2 linked regions of the Elephas maximus indicus genome follow. The protein of the gene in region 1 interacts with the protein of each later gene in a biochemical or structural test. Links are inferred from orthologs where the notes say so. Each region holds a gene or a part of one and is shown on either strand. Other genes may lie near its edges.

The links.
Region 2: the proteins of JUN (region 1) and PIN1 form a complex in vitro, tested with the Homo sapiens proteins (2 studies listed by BioGRID). The link is inferred for Elephas maximus indicus from reciprocal best matches to the Homo sapiens genes JUN and PIN1.

Annotation. Positions count from the first base shown.
Region 1 is NC_064821.1:103,111,781-103,118,395, forward strand, and holds JUN (transcription factor Jun), read right to left. Parts: upstream 1,911-6,615; 5' UTR 1,879-1,910; coding exon 889-1,878; 3' UTR 534-888; downstream 1-533. UniProt on the Homo sapiens protein: Transcription factor that recognizes and binds to the AP-1 consensus motif 5'-TGA[GC]TCA-3'.
Region 2 is NC_064821.1:28,011,145-28,018,076, reverse strand, and holds the start of PIN1 (peptidyl-prolyl cis-trans isomerase NIMA-interacting 1), read right to left. Parts: upstream 3,002-6,932; 5' UTR 2,960-3,001; coding exon 2,902-2,959; intron 16-2,901; coding exon 1-15. UniProt on the Homo sapiens protein: Peptidyl-prolyl cis/trans isomerase (PPIase) that binds to and isomerizes specific phosphorylated Ser/Thr-Pro (pSer/Thr-Pro) motifs.

The DNA.
Region 1 (6,615 bases):
ATATAGAATAGGTTTTATTGCTTGATAGTAAGCATTGAGAATGATTTTAATTGACACTCCTAACTCTTTCAACTCCGCTTAGATGGTTAATCTATAGATAATGCAGAAAAGAGGTTGGTGGGGAGTATTTTTTCAATATTTTATTGTATTTTCTTAAATATCCTTTCTGGAATTTTCAGAAACAAAACATAAAAAAAATTATATACTTTATTACAAATTACAAATGGTAAACTCAGAGAGTGCTCCAAATCTCTTATTTACAAACAACACTGGGCAGGACACCCAAACAAACAAACAAACATGAAATAACTTACAAAGTCATGAAGCTGTTTATTGACAGTAATCAGCTTTCATCAAATTAAAAAAAAATATATGTACATACACAGTTAACGAAGGCAGGCCAGAAAGAGTTCATCTGTAGGCTCAGCTTCCCTCTCACACACCTCCCTCCCGCCTCCCCTCCCCACCCACCTCCCTTTGTGTTCTTAAGGAGTACTACAGAAGCAATCTACAGTCTCTATTGCAGTTTGTAACCCCTCCCCCACCCCCCTTTTAATACTGAATGAGATCGAATGTTAGGTCCATGCAGTTCTTGGTCAATGTTAAAGAAAAGTCTAACGTTCCGTTCGCGCGGGGACTGCCCGTCCGCAAAGCGGGGCAGCCCGCAGGCTGCTGCTCCCTGGCTCCACGCCAAGGGAGGGCGCGCCAAGTCCTTCCCACTCGTGCACACTGGGGGCGCCGTCAGGACGCAACCCAGTCCAACTTGGATACCCTTGGCTTTAGTCCTCGGACACTTCTTTTTTCTCTCTCTCGCAACTTGTCAAGTTCTCAAGTCTGTCTCTGTTATTTGTTTGTCTCCGTTTCCCCTCAACCCCCGACAGTCTCTCTTCAAAACGTTTGCAACTGCTGCGTTAGCATGAGTTGGCACCCACTATTAACGTGGTTCATGACTTTCTGTTTAAGCTGTGCCACCTGTTCCCTGAGCATATTGGCCGTGGACGCCAGCTCCGAGTTCTGCGCTTTCAAAGTTTTCACTTTTTCCTCCAGCCGGGCGATCCTCTCCAGCTTTCTTTTCCGGCACTTGGAGGCAGCGATGCGGTTCCTCATGCGCTTCCTTTCCGCCTTGATCCGCTCCTGTGACTCCATGTCGATGGGGGACAGGGGCGGCGTCTCCCCGGGCATCTCGGGGACCGTCTGCGGCTCCTCCTTTAGGGCCTGGAGTCGAGGGTGCTGCACGGGGATCTGCTGGGGCAGGTGATGTGGCGGCTGCGGCTGCTGTTGGGGCTGCGCGGGAAAGGCCAGGCCGCCGGCGCCATAGGAGGGCGCCCCGCCGCCGCTGCTCAACGCGCCCGGGTTGAAGTTGCTAAGGTTGGCGTAGACTGGCGGCTCGCTGTGCAGGCTGGCGCTGAAACCGCCGCTGCCGCCCGCCACGGAAGCCACCGCCGGGGCCACCATGCCCGCCCCGCTGACCGGCTGCGCCGCGGACGTGACGCTTGGCAAAGTGTTCTGGCTGTGCAGTTCGGCCAGGGCGCGCACGAAGCCCTCGGCGAAGCCCTCCTGCTCGTCCGTCACGTTCTTGGGGCACAGGAACTGGGTAGGGGTCGGCGTGGTGGTGATGTGCCCGTTGCTGGACTGGATAATCAGGCGCTCCAGCTCGGGCGACGCCAACTTGAGCAGCCCGACGTCGGGCGAGGTGAGGAGGTCCGAGTTCTTGGCGCGGAGGTGCGGCTTCAGGCTGCCCACCGGGTCAGCCAGGTTCAGGGTCATGCTCTGTTTCAGGATCTTGGGGTTACTGTAGCCGTAGGCGCCGCTCTCGGACTGGAGGAAGGAGACGTTGAGGGCATCGTCATAGAAGGTCGTTTCCATCTTTGCAGTCATAGAAGAGTCCGTCACTTCACGTGGGGTTAGTTTGGGCTGCGCGCAGAAGTTTCGGGGCCGCAACAGCGCGTTGGCAAGCGAGGGGTACCCGCGCCTCCCGCGGCCTTTGGCAAGGAAAGTTTCTCTAAGAGCGCGCGCACACGCTGGCTGTCCTCCCCCCAGCGCCCTCCTCACCAGCTCGCTCCAGAGAACGCAGGCTTAAGATGCCGCCTGCACCCTTCCTTCTCCGCTCTCGCGCGCTGCCTCTCTTTGAAAAGTCGCGGTCACTCACTGAGCGCTCAGCGGGCGCAGTGGTTGCTCGGACGAACTCGCTTCCCGGGGACAGCGGTCTCGAAGCGGTGCCGCTTAGTGCAGATCCGGCAGTGGCGAGCCGGCGGCGGGTCGCAGCCGCCCCGACTCCGACGACTCTCCCCTCCTCCGCTGCGAGGGGAGGGGGCTCCTGGCACCAGCAGCTCTCGCTCGCCCAAGTTCAGCAACCGGTGTGAGCGAAGCTGGACGCGCGTCCCTCCTCTCTTTCCTCTCCTGCCGCCTTCTTCTTTATCGCCGCTGCGGCAGCTTAAGAGGAAAGGTTTGCAAACGTTCGCTTCGGGACCCGGGTACCACTTGTCCCCTCTCCTCTCGGCTGGGAAAGTTCTTTGCCGCTGCAGCCGCTCGCTGGACTTCCCCCGGCTGGCGGGCAGTCACAGCTCTCCGCGGCTGTCAACGCCCGGGCAGCGGTGCTCTCTTCCCGGGGCTACTGGAGAAGGGGCTCTCCGGGCGCTCCCCAAAACACCAGCCCGGAAGCCACAGGCGCTAGCTCTGGGCGGTTAGCGAGAAAATGGAAAAGAAAAGAAGATTTGCAGTTCAGACTCTGCTGCCTTCCTGACTGACTGTCTCTGTCTGTCTGTCTCAGTCCGCGCGCCTCCACTCCCGCCTCGCTGCTTCAGCCACACTCAGTGCAACTCTGAGCCCTTATCCAGCCCGGAGCTCAACACTTATCTGCTACCAGTCAACCCCTAAAAATAGCCCATGATGTCACCCGGAGGCCTTCCCATTGGCTCGTGTCGCTCTCAAGGGGGCGGGCCCGCCCGTCACCATGGAGACCCCACCCTAGAAGATTCTTCTCCGGACCCGCGGAGGCTCACGGGATGAGGTAATGCTCCGCTGCCCTCCTACAGTTGGGCCCTTCTTTCTCGTCCTCTCCCCCCTCCCCCCCCCCCTCCCGCGCGACTCTGGCCCTTCTCTCCCCCTTCTCCTCCCAGGCCAGTCCTTCCCGGCCCGCCCGGTGCATTGTGGGCTGACGTCTTGGGGTTTGACTGTCTGGTGACGGTGGCTGCCGCGAGCGGGAGGACTCTCCCAGCCTCTGACCCAGGCGGGCTCAAGCTCGGGACCGAGATGCAGGGGATGCGGGGCCCCGGAAGGCTGGGGGACCGGGGTAGTTGTCTGGGGCCGAGGGTGTGGGGTGATGTGTGGTTTTTCGCCACTTGGGAGGCGCGAAGTTGGCCGAGGCATTTCGCCGCGCGGGGTTGGGAGGCTGGGAGCCCGCGTCGGTGACCCCCCCGCACTTCCGGGGGCGGGAGCGCCGCCCTTAAGGTGGCTCTGTTTAGTCCCCCGTGGGGGTGAGCTTAAGTGGGCCCAAGTTTAGGGCTGGTCGCACGGGGGTTGACCCCCCACGTTGAGGACGCTCTGAAGTTTGTCTCTCGTTCAAGTTCACGAGCGACCGTCCTCTCCGCTCTCTGGCAGTGCCCAGAGCCGAGTGGTTTGCATTGCTTGAAACTGGGCGCTCCGCTAAGTCCCGCTGCACCTCACGTCACCCTTCGGGGACCCTGGGGGGAAGAGGGTTGCAGGAGTTTACAGCTTTGCCTTGGAGGTGAGGTTTTTACAGGGGGAAGAATCAGGGGGCAACTCAGCGTCCATTTCGGAACAAGCGTTTAGGGATTCCGAAATTCTGGGAACCCCGGTGATCTTCTACCACACACCCCACCCTGCACACACACCACACACACACACACACACACCCGCCCTGATTTGCTTCGGGGAAAACAAGTGTCGAAAGCGGCAGAGACTCGCCAAAAGTCACGCAGCGACTCAGGAGCTTAAAAATCTCTCGACTCCCTGCTGGGTGGTGAGCTGATACCTTGTGCAGCCTCTAGGAAGCGCTAGACACATATAAGTGGTTGCTTTCTGTGGTGGTTATTTATCTGCCCCGCCCCCTCACTCCTCCCCACTTCAGTGACAAAATGTATGGTGGAAGGAATACCGAAGTCGGGAATCCTGCGTTCTGTCTGCCCCGTGCTGCCACAGTGTAAGTGAGCGATCACTGAACTTCTCTGTGCTTCACTTCCCTCATCTGCAAGTTAGCTGGTTAGATCTGCTTCCCTGGGCTGCAGGCGTTAGTGTATCATCTTGCCTCCGTGGCTAAGGAGGTGGTCGCCAAACACCCATTCCTTGACCTTCCTCCAAGTTTCCCAAAGCATTGTAGGAGGATGGAATGCCAGGACATAAGAGTGTAATTTGGCAGGACAAGGTCTGCTTTCCAGTGAGGAACACTGAGGGGAGGAGGTGAGTGAGGGTGGATCCGGTTAGAAGGCAACTCTTTCCCAGGCCGCCTCTCTAGGTCTAGGGTTTGAAGTTGGATCTGTAGTAGTTGAAGTTCCTAGGTACTTATTCTGACTTTTCTGCCTCTGAACTCGGGGGAATTCAGTCTTGAGTTCATAGCCCCCAGCCTTAAGGTATTTGTGGCTTTGAAAGTTCAGAATCAACAGCAGCTGGTGTTGGTGGAGAATCCGCCGATTTTTTTTCACTTGAGGCACTCAACTCTTCATTCATTCGTGTGGGAGAGGATACCTAAGTAGCTACTGTGAGCCAAGCACTGAGCTGGGACAAAATGTGAGGAGGCGGGAGGGGTAGGGATGCAACGATGGCAAAATCCAGTTCCTTCCCTTAAGGAGGAAACACTGTCCTCTATACTGTTGCCATGAATTATTTTCTGTTACATTTTATAACCAGAGAGCTGGTATTCTTAATTTTTAATATCACCGTAATAAAAATGATTTTCATGTATTGAATGAGTATTTTCCAGACATTCTCCTAAGCAATTTAAATATGCTGTTTTCTCCCCACAGCCATCTTGATAAGCATATATTATTATCATTTGTGTTTAACATGTGAGGAAATAGGCCCAGAGATTTCAAGTATCTTGTTCAGGACACACAGGCAGTTGAAAATTGACCTCGGATTTGTATTAATTTCCTTATTGTATCTTCTTGGCTCTGATAAACTTTCTTGTGAAGTATTAGTTGCCTGCAGAAGAAATGGAGCTTGTGGGAGAGGGGAAGTCATCTTGCCTGATCTCTGACGGTAACTCCTTTCAAAGCTCCCGTATTTAGACTTAGGAGTGTGGATAAATATATATCCTTTGCCTAAGGGTTCTGTGTGTTCTCTCTGCCTTATGTGATTTAGTAGGCTGATTTTCTCCTTATGCTGAGAAATGGCATATTTCATCCCCCCGAAATAACAAATCTGTTCATGATAACGCCCCTGCTTAGAAGCCTTCATTGGCTTCCCCCTTACTACAGAAGAAGGAGACCTGGTGGCATAGTTATTAAGCTCTTATCTGCTAACTGAAAGGTTGCCGGTTCGAACCCACTGGCTGCTCTGAGGGAGAAAGATGTGGCAATCTGCTTCTGTAAAGATTTAAACCAAAACCAAACCCACTGCAGTAGAGTCGATTCCGACTCATAGCGACCCTATAGGATAGAGTAGAACTGCCCCATAGAGTTTCCAAGGAGCACCTGGTGGATTTGAACTGCCGACCTCTTGGTTAGCAACTGTAGCACTTAACCGCTACGCCACCAGGGTTTACAGCCCTGGAAATCCTATAGGACGGTTCTACTCTGTCCTACAGGGTCACTGTGAGTTGGAATCGACTTGATGGCAGTGGGTTTGGTTTTTTTGGTTTTACTACAGAAGAGAGTTCAGACTCCTTTGCCTAGGAGAAGGGGAGCTTTACATTTTAGCTCCTGCTTTCCCCAATCTCTCCTCTCACTCCCAGTATCAGCCAGGAAAGGCTGGCTTTATGCTGCCGTAACAAGCCCTAACATCTCAGCGGCTTTCATTGGGTTACAGTCAAAGTTTATTTTTTGCTCATGCTACTTGTCCTATGTGGGTCTGAAGGGGAGCTCTATTCAGTGTAGTCACTCAAAAGACTCAGACAGAAGGAAGCTTCACCTTGACACATGCTTCTCACAATTATTTTGGCTGGGGGTAGAGAACGGGCTCTCAGCACACCCACCCGGAAGTGTCACACATCACTTCTGCTCATATATTGTTGGCCAAAGCAAGCCACATGGCCATGTTGTTGTTAGGTGTTGATTTTGGATCTAAGTAAAATGAAATCCTTGACGACTTCAGTCTTTTCTCCATATATCATGATGTTGGCCATGCCTAACTTCATATCTGTGTAATGCTGCCAAATGTTTTAAAAGGAGAGAGCCAGGAATATTTGGGGACCAACACTAGACTCTTAACAGTCTCCTTTTCTCTTCACCAAATGTTTGGCTCACTCTCCTCCCACAGACAAAAGTCCCTTACTCTTTTCTCAAGGGAGAGTGGCATGGATTGAATTGTGTCCCCCCAAAATATGTGTCAATTTGGCTAGGCCATGATTCTCAGTATTGTGTGGTTGTCCTCCATTTTGTGATCTGACGTAATTGTCCTATGTGTTATAAATCCTAGCTCTATGCCTGTGGTTATGGT
Region 2 (6,932 bases), about 75 Mb from region 1:
AGTAGTACACCCGGCCTGGAAGGGAGGAGAGATGGGAATTCAGTTAGGGCTGTGCTCGCAGATGCCACCCTGGAGCCCTAACCAGAGGCCAGGGTACAGACATGCCTTCATTAAGCAAATAAACTGTGCACCCACCATGTGCCACAGGCCCGGGGACACTGGAGCCAACTTGGCAGGACATAACCCTGCTGTAGCGTGATGGATTGCTTTTATATGGCCTTTCTTGCCATGGTCTTGTAACTCTCACCACATGATTGGGTGGGACCATGTAAATAAGATGTATGGAACCCTAACAAGGGGATTGGTCAGTTTTGCCATTCCACTAGGCTTAAAATGAGCCATCCCATAGGTGGAAAGGGAGGACCTCACTACCACCAAAAATAAGAAATGGGAGCAGAGCATGCTGAGAATCTCCTAGACCCAACAGACAAAGATAGAGAGCTATAAAAGTACAACTTAGCGAGAAGTGGCAGCAGAGAAACAGCAGAAGAACCAGGAGGCTGGTGCAAGATGGTGCAGTGGGCCTCCCAGCCCACGGAGTAATACGGTTACAGTGGGTGTGCTGACCCACGGAGTGAGAGAGCTAAGCACCTTTGGGCAGGAGCCTTCCTGGAGGAGTGGAGTGCCTCTGGGTACTTATTAGCAGAGCTAAAGAGCTTTGTTTAACACTTGCCTGAGCACCCAACAGGCTCAAACAGCAACGACTTTGAGGATGGTACTGGACCAGGCAGTGTTTTGTTCTATTGTACATAGGGTTGCTATGAGTCAGAACTGACTTGACGGCACCTAACAACAACTACTTCTCTAATACACCCCATAACTATGAGTATGATCTGTGAGTTCTGTTTAGCCACTGCAATGGACTATCAAACCCAGCACAGTAGCAGAGAGTGCTGTCGGAGGTATAGCTGGTGTCAGAATTGGTAAAAAGACTGGAAACAGGCAGTATGTCTGACCTCCACCCTCATAGGAATCAGCGTGGGGCTGATGTGGATGGCAATTCTCTCTCCCTCTCACGAAGTTAGAGAAGGTCAGATGCCCCTAACATGCCATTTTTAACACCTATCTTATGGAGCTAACATTCTAAGTGGGGGCAGACAGACACTAAACAAGCAAATAAGATAACTTCAGTCGCTGGTAACTTCAAGGAGGAAAATAACCCAGGGTGGCGGAACAAGGCAAACCTGGGAGACAGGAGACTGATTCAAAGCATTCATTCAGCAGACCGCCTGTCTGGGTTCAAATCCAGCCCTGCCACTTACCCAATGATCTACCTTCCCTGGACCTCAGTTTTCTCACCTGTAAAATGGACATAACAATACCTGACTGTATGGTTGTTGTAAAGACTGAATAAGCTCACATCTGTAAACGGCTTAAAACAGCGCCTGGAACACATCAACAGTGTGATAGCTGTTATCATCTCCTTTTATAGATGACAAAATTGAGGCCTCGCCTTCCCCATCTTTAGTAATGGCAGTAACAGGTAACACTTCCTTACTGTTTACTCTGTTCCATGCACACACTTGGGCCCATCACCATTAAGGACCGGCTGTCACCCCCAAGGAAGGCTGTCAGGGTCCAGCTGAATAGAAATGGCATGAATGAGGGCCCAGAGGTGGGCGGAGCATGAGGTTTATGCTGTAGGTGCCAGTCAAAGGCCAGGGCAGGAACAGGGTGGGCAATGGCATGGGCTCTGAGGGCAAATCCAGTTGAGCCACTGACTTAAACTCTAAAATCGTGGCAATGGGCTCTACCTCCCCGAATCTCTGCTTTCTCATCTGAAAAGTGGGGGTGAGAGAATAAGGACATCAAATCTCATGGGATTAATGTGGAGAGTTGATGATGCACACGAAGTGCTCACCAGAGTGCCAGACACATGGTAAGCTCTCTAACAGAACCAAACCCATTGCCATCGAGTTGATTCTGACTCATAGCAACTCTATAGCACAAGTAGAACTGCCCTACAGGGTTTCCAAGGAGCGCATTGTGGATTCGAGCTGCAGACCTTTTGGTTAGCAGCCATAGCTCTTAACCACATGCCACTAGGGTTTCCAAACACTCCAAGTAAACAGGAATTATTACTGAGGTTACTAGAGACTTTGAGGCAATGCAGTGACTCCCCAAACACAACCAGGAAGTGGGCTTGCTCCTCCAGAGCTTGCAGTGAAGTGGCTGTGGGCAGGCAGCTCTGGAGCCCAGTCTACGCTCCCTGAACTGAATGACCTCAGGCGAGTTCCTTAAGTTCTGGCCTCAGTTTCTTCACCTACAAAATGGAGGTAACAACTACCTCCCTCCCACAGTTGTGGCGATTTGGAGAGAACACGCTTAAAATGCTTGGCACAATGCCTGGAGCAGAGATAAACGTGGCCTACTATTGGCGATAACCTTTAAATTCAGCCCAGGGCACAGGGGCCAGCCTCAAGCAGGATAACGGGGGACATTGCAGACTCAGCATTAGATGTGGACGCCAGGGGTTATGGCTTCTGGGTCGGGAAACACGCTGGGGCCACATCCTGTGGATGGGGTTGGGGTGTCGCCCCTGTGATGCCTCCGGGCCCGGAGGGATGTAAAGATGTCCACCCACGGGACTTCAGCCGAATTAGGCCCGGGCGTGTCGGCCGGGTGGGCAGGGACAGGGCCATCGCCCGGGAAGTGTGTGAGCTCACCGGCCCCTCACCCACCCCTCAGCGCGCTAAGCCTCCCTGGCGCCGCCGTGCCTCAGCTTCCCCACTCCTGAGGCCCACAGCAGCCACCGAATGTGCCCGGGCCGTTCCCCGGGATCGACGCAGAGAAGCCAAAACCCCACAGGAAAGAAGCGGCGGCGCCGCGCCCGAAGGGCAAGCTCGATCCCTGCTTCCATGGGCCCGCGCGATCCTACCCCAGCCCCAGCCCCTGAGGCACCTGAGCTGCGGCTCATGCGCTTCTCCCAGCCGGGCGGCAGCTTCTCTTCGTCCGCCATCTTCGCTCCTGCCGCAGCGCCCGCTCCGCCTCCGCCGCACCGCCTAGGTCTCCCGCGCCCGCCCGCCGCCACCGCCGATTGGCTCGGTGCGCCCCCGCACCCGGACCTTGGGGCGACGCTCACTGGATACCCCAACCGTCGGGACTCCCTTCCTGGCTTCTTATTGGACAGAAGCGAGGGTGGGCGGCTCCTCCCACATCTTATCTGGGCCCCGCCCCCTCGGCCCCTAAGTGGCAGGGAAGGGACTCAAGCCGGCCCTTCTCAACGCCCTTAGGCGAGCTCCAAAGAAGTCCCGACCACTCCTTTGCGTCCTTCGCCGCACAGCCCGCTCGGGCAGGAAAGAGCTTACTGATTGGCTACCGCAGTGGCTATTCCCGCCTTCGTAAACCATTCCTGAAGGCTGGCAATCCCTTGATTTCTACCCAAGCGGAAGTGTCTGGCTAGTATGGGGATAACGGCAGCCGACGAGGTACTTGGGAGTTGCGGTGCTGACTGTCCTGTTGCCATAGCAACCCAGTTACCTTGGTGAGGAGTGGCTAAGAATCCAGAAGCCTAAATTTGGCTTCTCCATCCTCCCTCGTCCCACCTGTTTCCTCCAGATGTCCAAAGCTAACCCGTCCCCCTTTTATTCTGTGCAAGGCTAACACTTCCCTATGCTACTGACCCAAACACCTTACATCTCCTTTGGGACCTACTTACATCACATTCTCTGTCAATCTCAATCTTCCCTCGTCCTGGGTGGCTGATGGGTGCTGGCATTGCCACTCAGGTGGGAACACTTTGCGGGGGGGGGGAAGGCGTGGGTAGGGCGGAGAGGGAAGGATGATGAGCTCAGTTTGAGTCAGTTTAAAATCGAGTCTGCGGTGCCCGTGGGGCATTGAGTAGGTGGTTGGAGACTCAGCTCTGGGGAATTGCAGGCGGGAGAGAGATACAGAAGTCAGACATTAAGAGAAGAGTTCAATGACAGTTATCTGTAGCGTGTACCCTATAATGACCATTTAAAAAATGTTGCACAGTGACATGAACGCATAGGGAATCAAGTCCAGAACAAATTAGAGGCAGGATATGATAGAAGGTTAAAAGCACACCCTGGAGCCACACTGCTTGGACTCAAAACTCCACTTAGCCACTTGCTATGACCTTGAGCAAATTACTTAGCTTCTGCACTTCAGCTTCCCCATCTACAAAAGGGGGATGAGAAATAATACATACCTCATCAGATTGATGGAAACCCTGGTGGCACAGTGGTTAAGTGCTACAGCTGCTAACCAAAAGGTCAGTAGTTCAAATCCACCAGGCACTCCTTGGAAACCCTATGGGGCAGTTCTACTCTGACCTATAGGGTCTCTATGAGTTGGAATCGACTTGATGGCAATGGGTTTGGTTCATCAGTTTGACGTGACGTTTAAATGATGCTGGGTGAAAAAAGCAAGTCATACCACCAAAACCAAACCCAGTACTAGAGTTCCCAAATACTCTTCACCCAGCTTTCCCTTCTGTTAGCATCTTACATAACAATAAAATAGTATTCAACCAGGGCACTTTTGCCCCCCAGGGGACAGCTGGCAATGTCTTCAGACATTTTTGTTGTCACAGATGGGGGGGGTGGAGGGCGGGGATACTACTGGCATCTAGTGGGTAGAGGTTGTTTTAGTTATCTAGTGCTGCTGTAACAGAAATACAAGTGGATGGCTTTAACAAAGAGAAATTTATTCCCTCACAGTCTAGGAGTCTAGAAGTCCAAATTCAGGGCAGCAGCTCCAGGGAAAGGCTTTCTCTCTCAGTTCTGGGGGAAGGTCTTTGTCATCAATCTTCCCCTGATCTAGGAGATTCTCAGTGCAGGGAACCTGGGTCCAAAGGAAGCACTCTGCTCCTGGCACTTCTTTCTTGGTGGTATGAGGTCCCTCTCCTCTCTTCTTGATTCTTTTATATCTCAAAAGAGATTCAAAGTACAACCTAATCCTGTAGATTGCCTCCTGCCTCATTAAGATAACTGTCTCTAATCCTGTCTCATTAACATCATAGAGATTAGGATTTACAACACAAAGGGTAATCACATCAGATGACAAAATGGTGAACCACCACACAATACAGGGAGTCATGGCCTAGCCAAGTTGACACACATTTTAGGGGGATACAATTCAATCCCTAACAGAGGCCAAAGATGCTGGCTAAACATCCTACACTACACAGCACCCCTACATACAAGAATTATCCAGCCCAAAATGTCAATAATGCCAAGGTTGAGAAAACCTGCCATAGAAAAATTATCAAATCTAAGAAATAAACATCAGTACAATACTATTAGCTATACTACAGACTTTTTTCTAGATTTCCCCAGGTTTTTGAATATTTTTTTTTTTTTTTGGTTTCAGAATCTCTCATTGTCATGTCTCCTCCAATATGTGACAGTTCCTTGTCTTTCATGACAGACTCTTCTGAAGAGTAGAATGTCTCTCATTCCAATATTGTCATGATGTGTTTGTCTAATTTCTCACAATTAAATTGAATTATGTATCACCAGGAAGAATACCAGAAGCAATGTGCCCTTCCTGGTGCATCATATCAAGTGGTAGATGATTTTGAAATGTGTTACTGATTGTCTTAGGTATGGACTGCCACATAACAAATCACCCACAACTTAGTGAATGAACATTTATTATCTGTTTCTGTTGAGTCAGTAGTCCAGGCACTTTAGCAGGATGCTTCTGCCTCAAGGTCTCTTAACAGACTGTAATCAGGTGTTGGCAGAGATGGTTGCAGTCTCATCTGAAGGCTTGACTGGGGCAGGGATTGTTGGCAAGATTCAGTTCCTCACAAGAAGTTGGACTGAGGGCTATATTCTTCACTGGCTTTGGCTGGTGGTCTCTCCATAAGGCAGCTCACAACATGGCTGCTGATTTTCATCACAGAACAAATAAGAAAGCAAGAGAGCAAGCAGGATGGAAGCCAGTCTCTTTGGAACCTATCTCAGAAATTGCATCCCATCACCTACACTCAAGAGGAGGGGATTATACAAGGTTGTGAATACCAGAATGTGGGGATCATTAGGAGTCATTTCAGGGGTTGCATACCACATATATTAACTTTGACCATTTCCTTAAGGCGGTATCTAAACTTACTGTTTTTCCCTTTGTAATTAATATTTAAGGCAGATACTTCAAGATTATGCAAATATCCTACTTCTGCTTAAATTCTGACCACAAAATTTTACCATCTAACAGTGGGTCACTATGAGTCGGAATTGACTTGGCAGCACTGGGTTTGGTTTTTTTTTTTTTTTAACAGTGGATCTTGCCTATGGCAATTAGTGCTGTGGTGTCCAATGGTGATTTCTCATTTCTATACTTCCACATTTATTTATTGGAATCCTCCTGTAAGAAAAGGTTCTCCTTTCTCCACATTTATTTCTTCAGTTAGTTTTTGGATATTCAAGTCCCTGGGTGGTACAAACGGTTAGCTGCTTGGCTACCAACCAAAAGGCTGGTGGTTCGAGTCCACCCAGAGGTACATCGGAAGGAAGGCCTGGCAATCTACTTCTGAAAAATCTACCCCTGAAAACCCTATGAAGCAGTTCTACTCTGACATACATGGGTTCACCATGAGTCGGAGTTGACTCAGTGGCAGCTTTTTTTTTTTTTAGTTAAAATGGGCTCAAAATTATTTTATTCTTTGGATTATAATTCAATACCATCATTACTTTGTTGCTCAAGTTGTTCCAGGTTTGGCCATTTGGAGCCCTTTCAGTTTGGTTCCTGTGCTCTCTCAACACACTCCCATCCTTTTTTATTTGGGCACTTCCTACTTTCTGGCACCACAGATTGCTCCAGGCTCATCTTGTATTTTCCCTGCCCAAGCCCTGGAACCAACTCGTTTTTCCCAGAAGGCCTAGTTCTTTTTATTGGAGGATTGTATTTAGAAACCAAGATTGGAGTGCAAGATATGGTCATCACTATTGGGGTGTCACTGCTTC